Linked DNA regions of Coturnix japonica. The protein of the gene in region 2 interacts with the protein of the main gene of each other region in a pairwise test. Links are inferred from orthologs where the notes say so. Each region holds a gene or a part of one and is shown on either strand. Other genes may lie near its edges.

The links. The genes of interacting proteins can lie anywhere in the genome.
Region 1: the proteins of TXLNA (region 2) and CDR2 interact in binary tests that used the Homo sapiens proteins (3 or more experiments, as listed by UniProt). The two-hybrid records come from large-scale screens. The link is inferred for Coturnix japonica from reciprocal best matches to the Homo sapiens genes TXLNA and CDR2.

The regions. Positions count from the first base shown.
Region 1 is NC_029529.1:8,355,106-8,359,709, reverse strand, and holds part of CDR2 (cerebellar degeneration-related protein 2), read left to right. Parts: intron 1-1,450; coding exon 1,451-1,599; intron 1,600-1,828; coding exon 1,829-1,993; intron 1,994-3,120; coding exon 3,121-3,985; 3' UTR 3,986-4,604.
Region 2 is NC_029538.1:4,544,208-4,548,814, reverse strand, and holds the start of TXLNA (alpha-taxilin), read left to right. Parts: upstream 1-1,180; 5' UTR 1,181-1,351; exon of another isoform or gene 1,352-1,365; intron 1,366-1,715; 5' UTR 1,716-1,751; coding exon 1,752-1,860; intron 1,861-2,662; coding exon 2,663-3,001; intron 3,002-3,487; coding exon 3,488-3,579; intron 3,580-3,927; coding exon 3,928-4,098; intron 4,099-4,475; coding exon 4,476-4,607. UniProt on the Homo sapiens protein: May be involved in intracellular vesicle traffic and potentially in calcium-dependent exocytosis in neuroendocrine cells.

The sequences.
Region 1 (4,604 bases), on a different chromosome or scaffold from region 2:
ACAAAAGCCCATTAGGAGAAATGGCGACATCAAATTCTGCCACCAAAACCTTGGTTTCTGTGTTCAGCCACTCTTATATTGCTGGAGGAAATATGAAGATCTCTGTAGCTCTTTCTGAGAGTAACCAACAGGAAAAGTTAATCTGGAGAGGGTCACACTGAGATTCTGCAGCTAATCCATGTACTATTTTAGTGTAAATCCTGCCACGTGCACACAGGCTGCAGAAGGATCTGGCAACTGCTGTCATGCTGATCTTCAGGAAGTCTATGCAGCAGTTACTAGTCTCAGATTAACTTATAATCTGTTCTTAAATTGCCTAAAATATAAACACATCGATCTTTTAAGGAGGTAAAAGGTTAAGCAGAATGTTACAAGTTTTCAGCATGTAACTGTGTGTACGGAGATGTAGTTCTGCTCAGAAGTCCAACAGGTGCTCATATGTTTAGTATGTAGTAACACAGAATTTATTTTATGGCGTTAATTCTACGTAACAAATAAGTATTCAATAGTTTAGGGGTTGGGGGGTTTGTTATCAAGTCTGTTTATTATAAATTTTTGTTCTTTTTTTCTTTTTTTTGAAGCTGGCTCAGTGCTGCCCTAGCTGGGACGATATAAGGCACTTGTACTGAGAGTCTTAGGTGATGGTTAACTTTCTGAAATAATCCTAGACACTTAGCAGGTTATTTTGTTAACCATAAAAGTAAAGGGAATTAAAATGAGATCACTTTGTGTGGAGTTGTATTTAAAAAAACAAAACAAAGTGCAGGAGACTTTTTCAGCATTATAATGACTGAAATAGTTCCCTGTAGGTAATTAAAGACTGAATCCAATAGCTTGGTTCTACTTCCTGACACATAGGAGTCTGCAGAATCTCAGGTGTGACCACATCCTAAAATGTGTTTTGCTGAACCTAACGCTGATTCAAACATAGACAAGCAGAAAAACAATCAGGGTAGTGCTACCCAATACTTCAGTTTAAATGCTGAGAAAATTATTGGGTCAACATTATTACAAAATTTATGATGTAGTTCAGTGCAACTTTTAGAAGGACTCTGTGAAGAACTGTGTTGAAATCCAGGTTTGTGGCTGAGTTGGTGATGACTGCAGCACAGACAAACCCAATCCAGATGGGTTTGTGGTAGCACTGGCAATAGTTTAACTGCAGCAAGGATGGCTAAACAGATAAACACAGTTTGCACGAACCAACCCAACTCATGTGGGTAAAGGACTGGTTGATCAGCCTTTGCTGACCTCCATGACAAAGGCAAGAGAAGTAGCTAAGCTACTGATTGCACCTTTTCAACTGGGCAGTAACCAAAGCAACCACTGGAACCTGTACGTTTCTAAATCACAGCAATCATAGCAGGTATTTAATGTGAACAAAACTGCAGAATAGTAGCCCTATCCTGTGTTTCTAGTATAGACTTGTAACAGCAATGCTGTCTTGCAGTATCTCACAAAGCAAGTGGAGCTCTTGCGTCAAATGAATGATCAACATGCAAAAGTTTATGAACAGCTGGATGTGACAGCAAGAGAACTAGAAGACACTAATCAAAAACTAGTTGCAGAGAGCAGAGCGTCACAACAAAAGATACTAAGGTAACAAACCTAAGCTAGATCCTCTTTTCTCCCCTCTACTCAACTGATACATGCAGCTTTTTGGTGGCTGTTTGTCTAGCATTGTTCTACAACACTCTTAAACTGAAAGTTTTATTTAAAGGTGATTTGTGGCCAAAGAGCTTCAGAGAAGCTGGAATGGGGAGGGATGGGAACTAATCTGTCCTGGATTAAACTGTCAAGTGTTTTAACATCAGTCCTTCACTTTTAGCTTGACAGAGACTATTGAAAATCTGCAGACACACATAGATGACCTGCAGAGGCAAGTAGAAGAACTGAAAAAGTCTGGACGAGGCCGGATGAACCATGAGAGATCTGACCAGCCAAGATCAATGCACAGCTTCTCTTGTTTGAAGGAGCTATATGACCTTCGCCAGTAAGACTCTTACCTTGCATAGCAAACAGATTATTGAAATTATTTTGAGCAATGTTTCAAAAACTAGATACAAGCACAGATGTTTAACAGGGTAGCAGAAAAGCATTTTAAGTTTGCAACTAGAAAAACACCTGCACAGCTGTGCAGTGTGTGGTGTTGTCATGCTTCTGGTGTGCTCTGGCTGCGGACTGTATTGATCTTTGTGGGAGAGGAACAGTATGTTCTACTTTCTATCTTGACAGGTTCTCCCCCAAAGTCTCCAGCTGTATGAAACTGTGTCCTAGAAAGCCTTCAAGAATGTGAACCTCCCTCTTTTCAGTTAGATAAAGCACAAACACAGATAGCTACAAAGTAAATTATCCTAAACAATATTTTCTGTAACTTACTTTTTCCTTGGACATCTGTAGGCACCTTCTTCTCAAGGTGAGCTTGCTGCAGTAGCTTTGCAGAATTTAAGCTGGTAAAATGTTGCCTGAAGCTTTAGGCTGCTTTCTAATGTAGAGCAGTTCTACCCAGCTGAACCACATTGTATGCCCATCAGGAGTCACCCGGGGTATGGTCCCAATCTGTCTTCACTGCTAGAAGCTAATAGAGGAAGTGAAGTACTTCTGCAGACAGGGAGAACAGGATTTGTGTTTAGGCTTCCAGCACTGTGCAAGTAAGACTGAGCAATTAACAACCTATGCAAGCAAGGAATTACTTGATGACAATTCAAAAGATAAATGGGTTACTTCAAACTGTGAAAGGTTTGTGGGATTGCCGCTCTACAGAACTGCTTTGTTCATTCTGAAGCTTGTTTCCACAATCAGGGGTGACACAAGTTAAGAGATGTGGTAGAAATCTGAAAGTCAGGGAGTATCACATAATATGTGAAGGCAGTATTTAAAAAACTTAAATTATAGATCTCATTATTCAGTAAACTTATCTGTAATTTGAGATTGTTAAAGAGCTGCCATCCTGCTTGAGCTGAGAGGCTTGATGGCACATGAAGTATCTACAGGCTCCAATCATGCTATGTATTCTTTCAGATCTGTTAACATAAACTGTCATTAGTTACCAATGACAGGAAAACTTCAGGTGCAATCAGCTCTATTTCCTATTAGTAATCCTTGCTTCTGTCTCCTCAGGTATTTTGTTTATGATCACGTGTTTGCAGAAAAGATTACTTCAATGGATAGTCAGCTAAGTCCTCTGGAAGAAGAAAATGAGAACTTGAAGAAGGCAGTTACGGTTCTGCAAGCCCAGCTCAACCTAGAAAAAGAGAAGAGGGTAACGATGGAGGAGGAATATAGTCTTGTGGTGAAAGAAAACTGCGACCTTGAACAGAGGCTTGTTGATATTGACTTGTATCGGGCTCGTGCAGAGGAGTTAGAAGTGGAAGTAGCTGAAATGCGACAGATGCTTAAATCTGAAAACACACTCCACAATGCGGAGAAATTGGTGCCAGAATCCTTTTTCATTTCATTTAAGGAATCTTTAGAAAGGGAGCTTGGTCAGAGCCCAGCTGATGACGGGCTTCTGGCTGTCCCTGAACTTGACAAAAAGGCACTGAAGCGGAGCAGCAGTGAAAATTTCCTGAGCAGTGCTGCAGGGGGAGACATTCTAAGGGGCCACGAAGAAACGTGTATCAGGAGAGCTGAAGCTGTGAAGCAGCGGGGAATCTCTGTACTCAATGAAGTCGATGCTCAGTATAATGCTCTGAAAGTGAAATATGAGGAACTTTTGAAGAAGTGTCAAATAGATGAAGATTCTTTGAAACACAAGGCTGTACAAACACTGAAGCAGTATTCTAAAGACAGTGTGGGAAATAACCAGTATGAGTTTTCAGCTAATAATCAAGAATTTATGAATGCAGGAGAATCGCTCAGCTCCACAAATACTCTTCCTGAATATAAAGCACTCTTCAAGGAAATCTTTAGCTGTATCAAAAAAACAAAGGAAGAAATAGATGAGCACAGATCTAAGTACAAGTCCCTTTCTTCTCAGCCGTGAATTTAGACATTCTGATGACCGATTTGTTGTTGGCAACTCATTTGTTGTCTAGAAGGGGGGAAAATTTTTACACAAATGTCAGAAGGCCCCGTGCACAGATGTTTCTGTTTTCAATTGGCTCATAGACACGTAGTTAAAAAGCTAGTTAGACTATCAGTGTCCCTGTACCTATGTAGCAATAGATGTAATGTTGTTTAGCACTGTCACACAAACTAGTGGTTGTAAAGGAAACAAAAACATTGCAACTTAATACTATAATGCTACTTAATACTACACTTGATTTCTGGCAGAAACTGACAATAGTTTTCCTACTCCACTTCAAATTAACAGAGCTAAGAAACCTGTACAGTACTTCTCACAAAGAACCAAGCAAAAGCTTTTCTTTAATTTGCATGTGATCATGTAGCCCTGTAACTGTAAAAACACAAAATAACAAGAAGCCCCAGATCAGTATCACAGGTAGCCTCTCCTCGAGTCCTGAGAATGAAGTTAGTGAATCTGGCTGAATTTGCTTTGGCAGGGAGCTGGAGAGCTAGAACAGCAGCTTGCAATGTGCTTGGTGAAGTTACTGCCATGTTTTCACATGAACTAGGCTCTACAGATAAGTATAGAAGTCTTC
Region 2 (4,607 bases):
CACCACAAATTTGCCACAAAACAACTGGGAGAAGCTGCTGATCCCATTTCCTCCTTGCAAACGGAAGGCTGGACGCTCACTCCACCTGTTAGGAAACAATTCTTCCTTCAAACGAATAGACAGAGTGCTTTATCCTCATGAAGAAAATGGGATGTCTTGCACGTTTATTTTCTTTTTGCTGCTGCATACGTGTCTTTAAAGCAGGCATCTGGGTGGAGGAAGGACACTGAGGTAACTCGTTGCACCTCTTGGGTTTATTTTTCTTTGTGGTGATCTCTCCCAAATGTCACTTCTTACCTCGGGTACTTAATTGAGGTTTCAGCGTTGGGTTGGGTAAGAACAGAAATAGAAAAGCGAGTATTCAGACGAGAATAATTCTGGAAACCTGGGTTGATCTATTTAATTTTTTTGCACATGTTACTCTTATTAAAGACTCTAATTTGCCAAGAGCAGAGTTTAGCCCTGGCCTTTCTGCGCTCCCCATGCAGCGATCCTGGCAGAGCTGGGCTGGATTCACACTGCAGAACATGGACAAAGGGTGAGGGGCTGTGGGAGGATCCTCCCCGTGTCCTGATATTGTTGGTTGGTTTGAGCTGCTGCTGTTGACAAGGGTCGAAGCAGCCGGAGCTGGTGGCTGTGAGCAGGGCTGGGGCTGGGGGGGCTGTACTATGGGAGCTGCCCCATCCCCAGCTGTATTGGAGCCCCACAGCCCGGTTCTGGTGCTGTGTGAACACACTGGGCCTCATTTCCATGTTTCCGTCCCGCTCACAAACATTTTCCTTCATAAAGTCTCAGATCTGTGTATTTTATACGATCTATCGGCACCTGTTTGTCTAATCGGGCTCCAGAGGAAACCAACACCTGTGTAATGTAATGTGTGTAATAGCGCTGTGAGCCGTTACCTGCACACGAGGCCCGAGCTGCTCCCGTTATAGCGCTGTGTGTGGCCGCGCTCACGGTCGGTTCCTCGTACCGGGCCGGGATCGAACAAAGCGCTGAGCGGAGCCGGGCCGGGAGCGAGCGGCTGTGGAGACCGGGGGGGGCGGAAGTGGCTGCCGCGGGGCACGCCGGGAGTTGTAGTTCCCGCGGCTCTTCCCGCTCCTCGCCTCTGTCTCCCGGCGGCCCCCGCGGCTGCTCGGCGCTGATTGGTCGGCGGAGCGGGGCGGCGCCTGCGCGATGAGCGCACGCTGCGAGGCCCGGCCCGGAACCGCTTCCTTCAGTGCGGGACCGGCGGGGGGAGCGGGCGTTGCTGGGCGCTGCTGGGCGCTGCCCGCCGGTACAACGGGGCTCTGCCGCCTCAACCGGCACCGACCGCACCGGGAGGAGCGGCCGCTACGTCACAGCGCTGCCGGTGACGTCACGGGGGTACGGGCGTGACGTCACGGCGGGAGGAAGGGAGGTGTTGATGACGTCACGGGGGTCACGTGGGATGGCGGGAGCGGACGGGGGCTCCGGTCGGACCGGGGGGATCCGGGGATACCGGGCTGTATGGGGATACAGGGCTATAAGGGGATACCGGGATATGTGCGGGGATACCGGGCTGTGTGGGGCTGATACCGGGCTCCATGGGATCCGGTGCCGCGCGGCTCCTCGATGCCGTCCCCGTGGCGCAGCGCTGGGTCGCGGCGGGTCCCGGTTCCCGGTTCGGTCCCGGTTCGGTCCCGGTTCCCGTCCGCTCCCTCCATTCCCCGCTCCAGCTGCGGTTTCCGTTCCAGCGGTTCTCCCGGTGCTGAGCGCGGAGCGGTGCCGCCATGAAGAACCAGAGCGGAGACGGCAAAGCGGCCCCGCGACCCGCGGCCAAAACCGGCGGCGATCCGGGGGACGAGGCGGAACCGGCAGAGCCCAGCGCGGCCATGGAAGGTGCGGGCAGCGCCGCGTCCCGGTATTGGGTACGGGGCGGCCCGTTCTGTCCGGTCCGTTCTGTGCGACTCGTAGCGTTGATCCCAGCAGCACAGAGTCCCTGAGCGATCGGTTCCTTTAGTGCTGCTCTGTGACATTGAGACAGGAATGGGTGGTCAGCTCACAGCAGGTTCAATTAACCTTGCCCTGCGTTTTAGTAACTGTGGAACGTAGGAGATGCACAGCAATGCAGTGAGTTCAATAGCTGATGCTGTACAGCTCTGCTTGGGAGGAGTTGTGGATGTAGAGAAGTGCTGAGGGGCTGCTGGGATGGGATGGATTGTGCTGGGATGGGGATGGGATGGGATGGGGATGGGATGGGATGGGATGGGATGGGATGGGATGTGGGTCTGAGCCGCTACAGCTGCTCGTATATGTGAGCAAAGAGGCAAACTCAGCTTATAGATCTATTGTTGTGCAAAAAAGGCTCTGGGGATATTAGCAGGCTGCTGCTCCGAGGGAAGGCTCACACACAACCTGCTTTGGTTAGAGGATGGTGGGAGGGGGCAGTTCTTGCTCCTGACAGATGTCAGGGTCTCGGTCATGCTCTCGTGATCAAAAGAGGCTGTTAGGAATGCACCTCCATTGTCAGGGCAGCTGGCTGGAGGCACAGCCTGAACAAAGCAGTTTGTGTGCTGGGAGTTCAGCCCGCCCTGGTGCACTGAGGTGCTCGGGGAAACCTTCCCCTTGCTGTGTGTGCGTGGAGAGCAGAGAACAGGCGGCGTGGGGAAGCATCACGCCTTTGTGCTTGTATCTCCGACAGCTCCCCTTGCACAGGACGACACAAAGTCCTCCCGGGCTGCCGTGCAGGATGTCTCTGAGGAGCTGAGCAGGCAGCTTGAGGACATCTTGAACACGTACTGCGTGGATGCCAGCCAGGAGGGTCCGGGTGAGGACGGTGGGCAGAGTGAGCCCGTGGAGCCAGAGGAAGTGGAGAAGTGCCTCAGTGAGTCCCCGAGGAACGGAGATCAGGAGTCAGGCAGCCCCGAGATGAATGGTGAGAAGGAAGGAACGAAGGGGACCGAAGAGTTTCGACCTGGAGACGAGTGTGGAGAGCGGGATCAGAAGAAGGCTCAGGAAAAGAAGAAAGCCAAGGGCCTCGGTAAGGGGTTTCCTGCTGTGGTTGTGCTGCCAGCCTGAGAACTTTGGTGCAGATGTGGATTTTATACTGCACTAAGTGCTGTTAGAGAAATGAATACCTTAGGTACGTGTTTGGAAATAGTACAGCATCTTATTCTTGTGGTATGGGAGGAAACGTTGAGTGTTGCAAAGACACTCATCAGTCCTGAGTGCTGCTGCAGCCTCTGAATTGTGCAGGTTTCCCCTCTGCTGCACACAGCGTTGTCTAGTTGGCCCCTTGGTGGTTCCCTACTCTGATAACCACGTTTCTCCTCAGCTGCTTCAATTGTTCACTGCTGTATGTGGTGAAATCTGGGGGACAAACCCCCAAATAGGCACTGGAGATGGGAACTCTGGGCCAGGGTGGTCACAGGTGTGAGACCTGGTTTCTGTCTCCTGTCCTTGCCTTTATAAGCCACAACTCCATGTACGTGACGTCACCTTTCTGTTTAATTCTGTCTCACTGCAGGCAAAGAAATCACTTTGTTGATGCAGACCCTGAACACCCTGAGCACGCCAGAGGAGAAACTGGCAGCACTGTGCAAGAAATACGCTGAGCTGGTGAGTCCTCGTTTCTTCATTCCAGGCTCTGGGGCAGTGGGAGGACGCTGCTGCAGTGAGCACTGGGACAGCACTCAGAGCTCTGCTCTGTTTAAGCATTGAGTGCTTGGAGGTCCTGAAGGAATGTGCACTTCTCACCAATTCCAGTAGGATGTTAATTCAGGAAGGAGAAAGGCTGTGTGTGGGAGACCTTGGGTTCTGTATTCATCTGACTGTGCTTTTTATTATAAAGCTCCTGTCCTTTCAGAGTAGACAGAACACCTATTTGATCCCTGTGTACCCTTATATGGGCACAGCATTGCCCTGGTCTGTTTTGCTGCATCTCTGCCCTCTGCTCTCCTACCCTAGCTGGAAGAACACCGAAACTCCCAGAAACAGATGAAGATTTTGCAGAAGAAGCAGACACAGTTGGTGCAAGAGAAGGACCACCTGCAGAGTGAGCACAGCAAGGCCATCCTGGCCCGCAGCAAGCTGGAGAGCCTGTGCCGTGAGCTCCAGAGACACAACCGTACCCTCAAGGCGAGTGTCTCCTGGGATTGCTGCAGGAGCTGCTTCCTCCCAAACCCTTAGGTCACCTGCTGCAGGGCTGATTTTAAGGAGTGGTCGCCCGCAGTCTGATGTCCAGTGCAGGATTTCAGTTGTGCTGTTAATCTGTTATCTTGCAAGGGACAGCAGGGGAGGGAGCTGACCCTTGTGATTTTATTTTGAAGGAAGTGATCATTTGTGGGCTTGCTCAGCTCTTGGAGTGAAGGAGCTGCCATGCAATGGCCTGCAGAGCCTTCCTGATTGATACCAGCAGCAGTGGGAAGTTGGGTGGGTTCAGATCATCACGGCCCAGGGAGGTTTGTTCATCTGCCTGATGTGATGCCACGTTGCTGTCTGCCCTTCTAATACAGGAGGAGGGTGTCCAGCGAGCACGAGAGGAAGAGGAGAAACGGAAGGAGGTGACATCCCACTTCCAGGTGACACTGAATGACATCCAGCTGCAGATGGAGCAGCACAACGAGAGGAACTCCAAGCTGCGCCAG